2 linked regions of the Drosophila melanogaster genome follow. The protein of the gene in region 2 purifies or fractionates together with the protein of the main gene of each other region. This does not show direct contact. Each region holds a gene or a part of one and is shown on either strand. Other genes may lie near its edges. The genes, in order: DCP1 and Ge-1.

Region 1 (4,254 bases), on a different chromosome or scaffold from region 2:
AACGGTGTGGTGCGCTTAAGATACTAACCGCTTTCCCCTCCTTGATAGCCCGAGTTCAGGAACGAGATTGACAGCACCTATGAGAGCTCCACGGAGCCGAGCAAGCAGTACAGCTCGCTGGCTTTGATCAACCCCACGATCGCCACCACCGGCGACTACAAGTGCGTGGTGCAGACCTCGCTGAACACCTTCTCCAGCCACCAGAGGGTTCAGGTCATAGACCTGAGGAACTACACCCTGGAGCTGTCCCACAAGACGATCCACAATGAGACGCAGCTGAACTGCACCGTGACGAACGTGTATCCCAGGCCCACCATCACGATAATGTAAGGACGAGCGCCTGCCTTGTCGTAAGACAGCCTTGTAGTAAACAACGTCCCAACTCAACTCCGCTCCTATTACAGATCCAACGACATGGACGTGGTGAAGCGGGAGCCCATGGTGTACGAGAACGAGGAGGGATACTTCGATGGCAGCGCCGTGGTGGCGGCCTACGACACCGACGACGATCCCGATGCCTACCAGTGCGTGGTGTCCTTCGAGGGATACGGCAAGAACCTGACCACGGTGGCCACGTCCGCGGCGGCGGGCAGGAGCCACGTCGACTTCAGCCTGTGGCTGTTTTGTTTTCTGTACTACCTGCTCTGCAAGCTGAAGGTATTGGCCTAAATAAAAGCGTTGTTATTTATTGTTACTAAATTAATGTTTATTGAATTCTGTTTGCCATTCAACTACCTTTTCTACGCCCCTTCGGCCTAGTTAACCATTTTGTAAATAAATACGAATACTTCACAAAACCAACTACGTTAGTTAACTCTTAAGGTTGCTCTGGAAATGGATGCCGTCCTTCTCCGGCGGGGCTTCTAGATTTTAAATCTACGACTGCCCTTGTCGGCTTACAGCTATTACATTTTGTAAATTAACTCGGCTTGAACTCGAACTCCATGCGAACAAATGAAAATATGGGCTGCAATTCGGAAATGTTGAATATTTCTGTTTATTGATATGTGGAGCTGGAGTCCAGCAGTAGATTGGAACAGCCGTTCAGGTAGGCCTTGTGCAGCTTGTTGGCAAACTCCTTATCGTTCTGGATAAGGTACGTGAAGGCCTGGACGAACTGCGTCGAGTTCAGCAGTGGCTGCTGTGGCTGCTGTGGCTGCTGTGGCTCCGGATTGCCGTTGTTGGGCGCGTCGAACATGGTGGGCGGCATGAGGGCCGGCCCGGGCTTGTCGCCAGCCAGCAGTCTCCGCAAGCACTTGCCGGCATCGTCGTTGGCCATCAGCGCCGACGAGGACGGGGCGACTGTCGGAGATTGAGCCGTAGCGTAGCTTTTACCGATCTTCAGGTCGCTCAGGAGCTGAATGTTAAGCTGCTGCATCTTCTGGAAGGGCGACAGCCGGCTCTCGTGATTGTCCCTGCCTGCCGGGGGCAACAGATCCTCGCCAGGCGTGGCTGCCCGCTGCTGTTTCTCCAGCTGGTCCACGGAGAGCGGCTGGACGCGGTGGAACAGTGACTCTGCCGTGGCCTGCTTGGCCGATTCGAAGAACTTCAACACATTGCCGGCCGTTACGTTCTCCGCCGAAGGCGTCTTCGGCTGCCCGCCGCTCACCTGGGCATTGTAGTCCTTCTGGGCCTTGGTCAGCATGTTGAATATGCTGGCCGGCTGGCTGCTGTCCTGCTTTGGCTGCTGGGGCGCGGAGACGTGACGCTGGGCCTGGCCATTCGTTCCCTGATCCTTGGACTTGAGCAGCCCGTTCACCAAGCCGCTGATGCGGTCGCACTCCTCGCTGTTGTAGAACCAGAAGCCGCGGATGCGCGAGCGCTCGTTGCGGTAGAGCAGGAACGGCGGCTGCGACTGCAGCTCCAGGCTGCCGGTGATGGGCTCCACGAAGGACGTGGTGTTCAGTCGGTTGTTGATGAAGATGCTGTGAAAGGGCTCCGCGTTGCGGTGGTATATGAAGAAGGCTCCCTCCACATCGGTCTTTTCCCACTCGTTCTGCGACGAGTTGAACGTGTAGAAGGCGACGTGCGAGGACGAATCCACGATCTCCTTGGCGTACGGGTCGATCTTCTTGATGGCCGCCAGGTTCATTCGCGTGATGCTCTCGTCGGCCATTGTAAATTGTATGTAATCTTCAGTTTTGGCTGTGCTATTGCGAATTGCAATTATTTGTGAATTTAACGGCGCTCTGGTCACACTGCCCCGTGGATGTTTTCCCGTGTTTATCAACGACTGTGCTGCGGTCACACCGAATGACAATAAACTCTTCCTTTTGTCTATTAATGATTTGTTTGAGAAATATTAAGTCGATTGACTTGCATATAAAAATGGCCACAATTGTACGTAATAATATTTCTCAATTATGTAGCATAAACATTTAATTTATGTTTACTAATAAAATTTTCAACTTCGATAGCATTTCCATTTCAATATATCGATACTGAAGACCAGCTCTAGAAACTGGCGGGAACTAATTGCATTGCAATTTGTATTTATTTGAACACAGAATTGCCACAAAATGCAAAAGTCTATAACGTAATTTACGATTTAACAAATGCTAAGTATTGCCAATCTAACAATCCCCCGTTTCAGCTCCTTCTTCAAGAAGAAATCCGATGCCACCGACAGCCCCTCGCCGCCCAAGAAAGTTCCTAAGTAAATGGTGCCGCTGTTTTCTTGTTTCATTACTAAATTCCTCGACAAATCATAGGATTGATGCGAAGACCGAACTCCCAGATGAACCCCACATCAAGAGCGAAAGTGCCTCCCCGGAAACTAAGCCCAAGGTAGAACCTATGTCTGTGGATTCCGAGGAGAAGACAAGTCCGGTGAAAAATGTTAAGAAGGAACCAAAGGAAGTCGATGACAAGACCACTGACAAGAAGGTCACAACCATAGGTCTCAACTCCACTGCCGCTACTAAGGAGGATGTGGAAAACTACGATCCATCCGCCGACTCCTATCATCCGCTCAAGAATGCCTACTGGAAGGACAAAAAGGTGTAAGTAGTGCAGGATTTTGAGCCTCCAAGGCGAATTATATCAAAGGAAACACTTTCCAGCACTCCCTACTTGGCACTGGCCCGCACATTTCAAGTAATCGAGGAGACCAAAGGCCGGCTCAAGATGATCGACACGCTGAGCAACTTCTTCTGCTCTGTGATGCTGGTCAGTCCGGAGGATCTTGTGCCCAGCGTCTACCTCAGCATCAACCAACTGGCGCCCGCCTACGAGGGACTGGAGCTGGGCGTTGCCGAGACCACCTTGATGAAGGCCATTTGCAAGGCAACGGGGCGTAATTTGGCTCACATTAAATCGCAGACGCAGCTAACCGGGGATCTGGGCATCGTGGCCGAGCAGTCGCGCGTTTCACAGCGCATGATGTTCCAGCCAGCGCCTCTGAATGTGAGGGATGTGTTCCGGAAGCTACGCGAAATAGCCAAGCTATCCGGTCAGTCGAAAATGGACCTGGTGTACAATATGTTTGTGGCCTGTCGATCGTCGGAGGCTCGCTTCTTTATCCGTTCATTGATTGGCAAGCTAAGAATTGGCATTGCAGAGCAGAGTTTGCTCACAGCGCTGGCCATTGGTTTGGTGAAAAAGAACCACATCGATGATTGCAAGGCTAGCAAGGTGCCGGATGTGTATAAGGATGAAATAGTCGACACCACTTTGCTGTTGAAAACTGCATACTGGTAAGAACTAACTTAAGAACCAGCTAATAATTCAGATGCTAACGAACTTTTGCAGTCAGTGTCCCAACTACGATATCATTATACCGGCCATTCTAAAGTACGATATTAAGGAGCTGCAGGAACGCTGCCCCATGCATCCCGGCATGCCGCTGAGGCCCATGCTCGCCCAGCCCACCAAGGGGGTCCATGAGGTATTTGAGAGATTCGGCGGCATGCAAATCACCTGCGAGTGGAAATACGATGGAGAGCGGGCCCAAATCCACCGCAACGAGAAGGGGGAGATCAGCATATTCTCGCGCAACTCCGAGAACAACACGGCAAAATATCCGGATTTGATTGCCAGGAGCACTGCCTTGCTCAAGGGCGACGTAAAGTCCTACATCATAGACAGCGAAATTGTGGCCTGGGATGTGGAGCGCAAGCAGATTCTGCCGTTTCAGGTGCTCAGCACGCGCAAACGGAAGAACGTTGATATCGAGGAAATCAAGGTCCAAGTCTGTGTCTACATCTTCGATCTGCTGTACATCAATGGCACTGCTCTGGTGACCAAAAACCTGTC
Region 2 (7,905 bases):
GATTTATGGATTTATGGATATAAATATATTCATGTTTGCTATTTTCTTGTTTAACTTTCAGAAACACAATGTCTGTGCTACGTGTGGCTGCAAGTGCTTGGAGCGCACCTCAGAGCTGCTAGCCCTACTCAGCTGATTCAGACCTTGAGTGATGTGCATTCCTTTCAAAAATAATCTTACTTAACTTTCTTTCGTCTGTGTGGATATCAAAATAGTTAGGTGTTTTTTAGTCATTAGGCCAACAATTTTTGTACGATTTGCATACCATTGAGAAATATATGACCACTTACTAGCCAAGCTAAGGGTAAAAGCTTTATGCAACTATACACTTAACCAAAATCATATGGTTACGATAATTCAAAAAGAACTGTTTCTAGATTTTTTCAAGTACATACATTTATTCTTTTTTATTATCGACTTTTGCTTTCTGTTTTTTTTTTTTTTTTTTAGCTTAAATTCTACGATTTACTTGTAGTTTTTGCATTTGCAATCTAATAATTTTTTTGTTTTGTCCGTCATAATAAAGTTTGCTTTAGTTTTGAAAATAATTTTTAAATAAGTTTCTACAGCTCCTATTCTTGTTTTTGTGTGTTTTCTTTTGTTCATTAAGCGTCATAAAGATAAAAAGGAAAATAAAAGGAACGCAAAAATAAAATAATAAAAAAATATATTGCAATTTAGTAGGCGAATCATTATAAAGATAATACAATTTTGATATAGCGACATAAACATTAGATATACGGCCTTACTATAAACAAATCACGCACAAAACAAATAAACAATAAAATGAAAGGCATAGATTCAATTTCAACTTTTTAAGGGATGAACTTAGCTGAGAGCTTTTTAGCATACTAACTTCTTTTTGGACTTAACTACAAGCGTGTATTTATAAATGTGTTTGTGGTCATAGATTAACTATCTTGGATGGGGATCGGATGGGTAATCTATCAAAACCAGCCACTGGCCAGGTTATAGTTCTCTTGATATCATTTTAGCTGATCGCGGTACGTTATGATTGCCTTCATCAGCAGACGGACGTTGCTGAACTGCGAATTCTTGGGGCTGTTCTTAATGAACTGCTGACAATTGCGATACAGCTCGGTGAGCACTTTAGGAGCGTGCTCGCGGGTAATGGGATCTGCCATATTGATGGCCAACAGTGCCTCGTTGAGATATCTACAAATGAAAAAGGTACATCATCAATGTAATTCTTTGTAATGTTTTGTTACTTGTTTAGTTCTCCTAGCTCACCTCTGCTTAAGCTCATTGTGATTGGTCATGTCAGCGGATATTTGCTGAATGAGCGACAGTAGAACCTTTTGCTCCAGTCTGCATCCCTCTGGTGCGAATGCCTGGTTGCTGTCCGTGTGTCGGAGAGTGAACTCCACTAGGCCCAAGTCGTTGGCCAATAGAGCCTGATGGAAGGCCTTGTTGATTTGTCCAGCCATCAAAAGCTGCTTAATGCTGTCCCTGAGGTCGTAAGGTGGTGCAGGCGTAGCTGCCTGCGAACGCATTGCCACGTTCTGGGCTTCCATGTGCTTGCGTAGCTCTGCTCTGATCGTTTCCTGTACCTGACGCGCCAGCAAAATCTCTAAGCTCTTCACTTCTCTTTGTGTCTCGAGCATGGCGTCCGTGAGTTCAGTGCGGTGCTTGTGCAAGCTGCTCTCTACCAATTGCTTAAGCATGGACAACTTGTTGTTTATCTCCTCCGTATTGCCACTCCCGGCTTGGGGCTGTGGCATGTGCTGCAGGTAGGTGTTAAACTGGACCATAACTGGAATTCAAAAGAAGGAGCTTTATGTATCCATTATGATTGTAATGATTATATACTAACAGTCTTTTATGCCCACGCTGAAAGCGTCATGCAGTTGTTTAAACATGTTCTGCGAGGACTTCTCATAAGCTGGAATCAAGGTGCTGCTCATAGATTCAATGAAGGCGGTTTGTAGGCTGGTTTGAACACCAATCAACACGGACTTGCCAAAAGTATCCAGAAATTGCTAAGTAATGAAAAAAAAACGCTTAATTATAAGCATTTATAGATGGACTTGCAGATTACGTACCTTGCTCTTGCACACCTGGGCAATATTCTCCTTCACCGTTTTGTCAAACACACTCAGCTTCTGCACAATCTCCACTTGCATTTGGGCTTGGAGCTGATCCATGTTGGCATTCACGCGAGGAAGCAGTTGGCGCTGCAGTTCCATGTTGAGAACGTTGCCAATAATGTCCGTAAAGTGGTTCATGACATACTGATTTAGTACCTGCAGCACGGAGTCACGTAGCTCTCGGTTTTGGCTCTCACTGCAAAAAGTATTCACTTGGATTGTGCCCCGGAAAATTTGTTATATGTATCTTACCGCGCCGCCAAGAATTCCGTCAGTTTCTTCTTATGCTCGTTTTCATATCGCTTGAGATACTGCTCCATTAGCTTGGACAGTTGCATCTCAATTTTATATGCTAGCTGACTAAGATTTTTAGGCTCCAATGAAGTGTCTTGTTTGCTATGCAGGGCCGCCGCCGCTTCTTGCTGCTTTTGTAGCTTGTTGACTTCGTTCTCCAATTTGTTTATTTGTTTGGACTGGGCTTTTACTAGATCTGCAAATAATTTATGTGAAATTGTTAGTATTTGAAGTACGTTACGCCATCATGCCTCTTTTAATATAAAATATTTAAAATTTCTGATTGAAGATCACAACCACTTACCTATGAGTAGTTCCATTTTGGCATTTAGCTCTCCAGTTCCACTTGAATCAACGCATGTTCCGCCCGCGTTGTTGCTGCTGCTGGTGTTGCTGGTGCTAAGAGTTGTAGCCGTGTTGTTGTTGCTATTGCTGCCTACACTTGTGTTATTATTGTGCCCTCCACCTAGCGTAGGCGGCACATTGCCATTGTTGGTGTTCTGCACCGCCTGGGACATGATCTGGGCAGCATTCTGGAGCTCAGCTGAGTGGGATGACAGCTTGACAATGGGCCATGTTCCGTCAACAGCTTCCGGGAGCGGTGATGAATTTGCCAGCTCTTCTTCCTCATCGTCATCATCGTCGTCCAGATTCTCTAGCTCTGCTTCGTAGGCATCGGCATCGTCCTGTGTGGCCATTATCTCCTGCACCTCTCGACTCGGACTCGAACTGCCGCTGGCCAAGTTCTCAGCCACATTCCGCTCTGGATTGCGATCAATTGCAATGAACTTCTTGCGAGCGTCAAGCTTTTCCTTCAGCTTTTGTTGCTCGCGATCTTCGATTAGGGTGTTGTTCATTAGGTTGAGGAGTACCTCGGCATTGGGGTTTTCGGAAGTCTTGGACGTTACCGTGGCCAGCATTCGTATAGTTTGCAGAACCGCTGAATCAATGGATCTATCCTGACCGCTGGTGGTGGTAGAGCTATCAGTTCCTATTGAAGTTGTGGTGCTGGTAGACACAAATACAGCTGCTGCCGCTGCGGTTCCGCTTGCACTGAAGGCATCTGGAGTCATGAGATTAACCTGCTGCGTATACGCGCTGCTTAGTTGCGGGGACTCTGACTTGGCCGCCTCCTTAGTGGCGTCCTGCAGGATGGCCGAAGGTGCCGCAGCCGCGGCTGCCGCCACGGCCACCATGGCAGATGAACTGCCCGTTGAAGCTCTCTTTGCGGATTTTGCGAATAATGCATCCAGCTGAACAGCACCCACAGTTCCACTGTTGGGGGATTCCGGCTCCTCTTTGATTAGCAGATTGTCTTCTGGCGTCTGTGATCGCTTGCTGTTTAGGCTGCTCCGCTCCGTCTTTTCAGCCACACATGGCTGGTAGATTATTTGACATTCCTGCAGGCTCTTTGCCTGCACCACAAACATGTGCAGCACAAGGGCACTGGTGGAATTGGAATCGTCATCGAAGTCATCGGGCTCCTCAATAGGATAGTAGCTCTCGATGGAGTTCTTAACGCGACGCATACTAGCGTTTACAATAGAAAAAGAGAGAATCCCCGAACTCAGCTTGAATTCGGCAACATTCTGAATGCGTTTGGAAGTGTCGCAGCCTTCTCCTTCGCTATCGCTACTCCTATTCTCGGAGTCTGCGCCGCCAGTACTGCCAATCTGCATTACATACACGGCCAGAGAGTCCAGGCAAGACAACACCAAGTAGTTCGCACTGCGATCTATGCCCGCGATAAAGTTTCTGGGCTGCAAAGATGACGGACTGGCCACCACATTGATAGTTTGGAGGCATTTCCATAGCGAGCAGTTCCAGAGCTTGATTTCGGTATTGGCATCGCTCGTAGTGATCACGTGCTGCCAGTAGGATCTAATGGGAAAGTTTAATATAATAATTATATTTAATTATTATATAATAACTACTTACTCTTCCACAGGCTTGTTGATATTGTCGAGAAAAAAGAGAGAGCAGACTTTTTTGCCATCATGTGGCTTCCACTCGTGCAGGCAGCGATGGTTGCGCACATCGAACAAATAAATTTGGTAGAAACGAACCAAGCCATCGGCGCAAGCAGCAGCCACAGTGGTGCCATCCGGGGACAAAGCGGCGCACGTGATCAACGAGTCCTCCTCAATCTTCAGATATCCAGATTCTAGGGCTGCTGGTTGGATCTTGCCGCGCTGTTAAGGTAAATGCCATTAATGATATGTTTGGCGCTGAACATTAGCACAAACGAACCCCATGTTCAGAGACAATCATCTTCACTTGAAAGCATTGAAATTGAGAGCTTCGCGACCAAATGAGCAGCTGATTCTCATCGTCATCGTCGTTGATTGGAACGGTGGCGCTGCTGCTGCAGACATAGGGACACCAGGAGACCATATCGTACTCCGGCACATAGTTGGCGATGGGGTCCTCCACCTTTAGCACTAGATTGCACAGCAGGTTCCCTTCGATTTGATCGACTTTGTAGACAAACAGCGAACTGACATCGATCACAGCTAATATACGCTCACAATCCGTATGGGCAAACTGCAGATCTAAGACCTCGCCGCTCATTCCCTTGATCAAGGCTCGCATACTGGTGGCTATGTTGCATACGCGCACCATGCCCTCCATTCCGGTGGCTTTGTTGTTGACTGGGAGCACAATGAAGTTATTATACAATAGCTTTTAAATTAATTTTAAAATTAACACAAGGTAAATGGGTTCATAAGTATACATAATAATTAAACCATCATTCCCCGGAAGCTCTGTAAAATATTGATTGGGACATGATTCCCATCGATAAATTCAAGAATCATTCCTTTTTTATAAAACTCAAGAATTGCGAGAAAAAGTTGTCACACATAAATAAAATCTAATTGGTCAAGAAACTGCAATGGGATATAAATTACTTACCATTAATGGCGTACGCCAGGTGCTTGCCATCGCGGTGGACAGCGACCAGGTGACCCGGATAGTAGTACTTGCGCTCCCACTTGTAGTCGACGATGTTCTTTAGCTTGACCTTGGAGGAACCGCGTGTGTGAACGCCGCCGGATGTGAGGACCTTGGTCTTATTGGATCTAATAACGCGGCAACACTGCTTCTCTTGCGCTTGGAAATGGCTGTTAGGCACAAAAAAAAAAGAATTAATTAAGCAAGGGCCGTCTATTGGATAACCGGTGATACGCACATGACTTCTATTTCCTGGGGCTCTGCCGCATTGCCGTTGGCGGCAATCGGCTTGTCCTGTTCGGCGCTGTTGCTCATCCCGGATGCTGCGTCAATGGCTGAAGCAGTAATGCTGATGCAGGCGTCTGCTGGCGGTGGATGGTACGCGGTACTTGCTTTGCCACACCTTGGCGACCGGTGGACAGACGGCGGCGGGGAGGAGGAGGCTGACAAAGGCGTCTTACGAAAGATTGGCAAGTGTGCAAGCGCGAAGAGCGCGATTAACATTGACACATCGGCTGACTGCAGGTGGGAGGATGATACGGCATGGGGGTACACATTATTAATTTCGCCAGTTGATGAACAGCAACGACTCGCACACCAACCTGCCCTATCAATACGCAGCAGTCGAATGGTCTCCTTTACTCCTGCTAAATGCACCCAGCCGGTACTTGGTAAAACTGGCCTCCAGCAATTGATCGTCTACTTAGCGAAACTAAACCATTTAGTTGGCTGCTTCTCGTAAACTCACAAATTTTCGCAAAAAACTTTTTTTTTTTTGCCGCAAAACCATAGAGGTGTGTAGCGGCGTGTGCTAGGGCAATCGATGGACAGCGTCTGTTATCGGCGACGCGGATGCCAGGGATGGACGCTCAGCGAAACGTTCTTTCGAAATCAAGAAAACACGTTTCGGTTGCACTTTCGTTTTATTGCATTTTAACATCAACTTAATACATTTATCTTTATTCATAGAGATGTATATCCATCAAAACAATACACATTGATTACGCAGCGACGTAATAATATGTTTACATAGTGTTTCAATATCACTTTTTCTTTTCATATTACATTTTGTTTCGTTTCTCTTGTGTGATTGTGTGTGGTGGTAGGTCATTGAAAATGTTTAACAAGTTGAAGAAAAACTCATATATCTAATGGTTTAAATATGCAAAAGATGTGATATATGCCGGTATGTCTGATAAATTCAAAGTTAGCATATACGTACAGAATCAGTGGTCCGAGTAAATCAAATTTGTCTCCTGTTTCGGTAGAAAGAAATTTTGGTAATTGTAGATAATATCAAGTGTTATTGTGTTTTATCGTGTACACTATACAGATAGAAAATATATTAAGATGTATATATTTTTTGAAAAACCTAAGCTAAGCTTTCAAGGAAATGAATTTCTTTATCGATTTTTTACCTTTCACTTTTCTAATACTTAAACATTAAGCCTGGCTTCTTTTTAGGTTCGTTTTTTGTAGTTCTTATTTTTGAGTTAATGTTTTTTTTGTGGTTTTTAATTTTCATTGCCGGAATGAATAGAAGGGACATTTTCGAGGCATACACAAAACAGTAATAAATAGCAAATGGAGAAGTAAAATGTCTTCGCAGCAGGAAATATTACACCTGGGATTGGACCACTTTGTGGCAGTTTCATTAATCACTAGGGTGAGGGTGAGATACGGAGTGCGGAGTGGCTGTCAAGCGAAAGAATTGTGTGTCATTTACTCGTAACAATTAGGAGAAGCGCATATACATATATCTCTAAATATACATATACATACATATATAAATCGATCTGCATAAATATCTATAGAGGCGGCATTATTGTTGTTGTTCTCGCATGATTTGTTTTGTGTTCTTGAGATTTAACTAGCCTACAAATTAAATTAGCAACTTCAATGCATAAACGGACGAGCTATCAGATCCATCGCTGGTGTTTCTACCCGCTTAAGACTGAGCAAGCTCTTGAGTAAACAAATGGTAGTTACATAGAAGCTGTTGGAACTTTCAGATCTGGCGAATATTTATCTGCAGACTGTGTAAATATTTTCACAACGAAATTTTACGAGCCTACTCAAAGATTTGCCCAGTCTTATCGTTGTGTAAGCACCTCGAATCGTAAATTGTGCTTGCAACATACAGAAACAACAAAATAAGTGTTTAACATAAAGGTGAATCGATTTCTTTCAGTGCATGAACAAATGAATTAATACTAATAGCATGAATTCATTTCAGCTATTTGCCTTAAATCCGAGGATTTCATATTAAACTTGGTCGTTATCAATTTTTTCTCCGTTTTTGGTAATTTCAATTAGTATTCAAATTTAAGGGAAACTAATTCGTAGTTTTTCTGAAATCTTACGCCCAATATGTATCTAATGCAGTTTAATGTGCAGAAAAGAGGGAAATATACTAATAGCTTAAAGAAAGTATAACAAATTATAAGGAATGTTAAATTTTGGTTCGAGACACTTAAAATGGTCGCAAAAATACACACACAGGCAAACGAAAGTCACATATCGCCCAAAAATAAATCGATTCACCCTCATT

What was found.
Region 1: the proteins of Ge-1 (region 2) and DCP1 purify together in Drosophila melanogaster (affinity purification with western blotting; 4 studies listed by BioGRID). This does not show direct contact.

Annotation. Positions count from the first base shown.
Region 1 is NT_033778.4:23,888,077-23,892,330, forward strand, and holds DCP1 (decapping protein 1), read right to left. Parts: upstream 2,201-4,254; 5' UTR 2,117-2,200; coding exon 998-2,116; 3' UTR 688-997; downstream 1-687. Other genes in the region: CG5597 (uncharacterized protein), read left to right, coding at 49-326, 405-669; DNAlig1 (DNA ligase 1), read left to right, coding at 2,520-2,536, 2,594-2,656, 2,712-3,002, 3,063-3,695, 3,751-4,254.
Region 2 is NT_033779.5:11,094,702-11,102,606, forward strand, and holds Ge-1 (Ge-1), read right to left. Parts: upstream 6,188-7,905; 5' UTR 5,859-6,187; coding exon 5,593-5,858; intron 5,525-5,592; coding exon 5,316-5,524; intron 5,054-5,315; coding exon 4,653-5,053; intron 4,595-4,652; coding exon 4,341-4,594; intron 4,284-4,340; coding exon 2,707-4,283; intron 2,599-2,706; coding exon 2,361-2,598; intron 2,305-2,360; coding exon 2,064-2,304; intron 2,001-2,063; coding exon 1,835-2,000; intron 1,775-1,834; coding exon 1,252-1,774; intron 1,177-1,251; coding exon 987-1,176; 3' UTR 449-986; downstream 1-448. Other genes in the region: Wdr59 (WD repeat domain 59), read left to right, coding at 62-136. UniProt on the Drosophila melanogaster protein: In the process of mRNA degradation, seems to play a role in mRNA decapping. Required for silencing a subset of endogenous miRNA targets.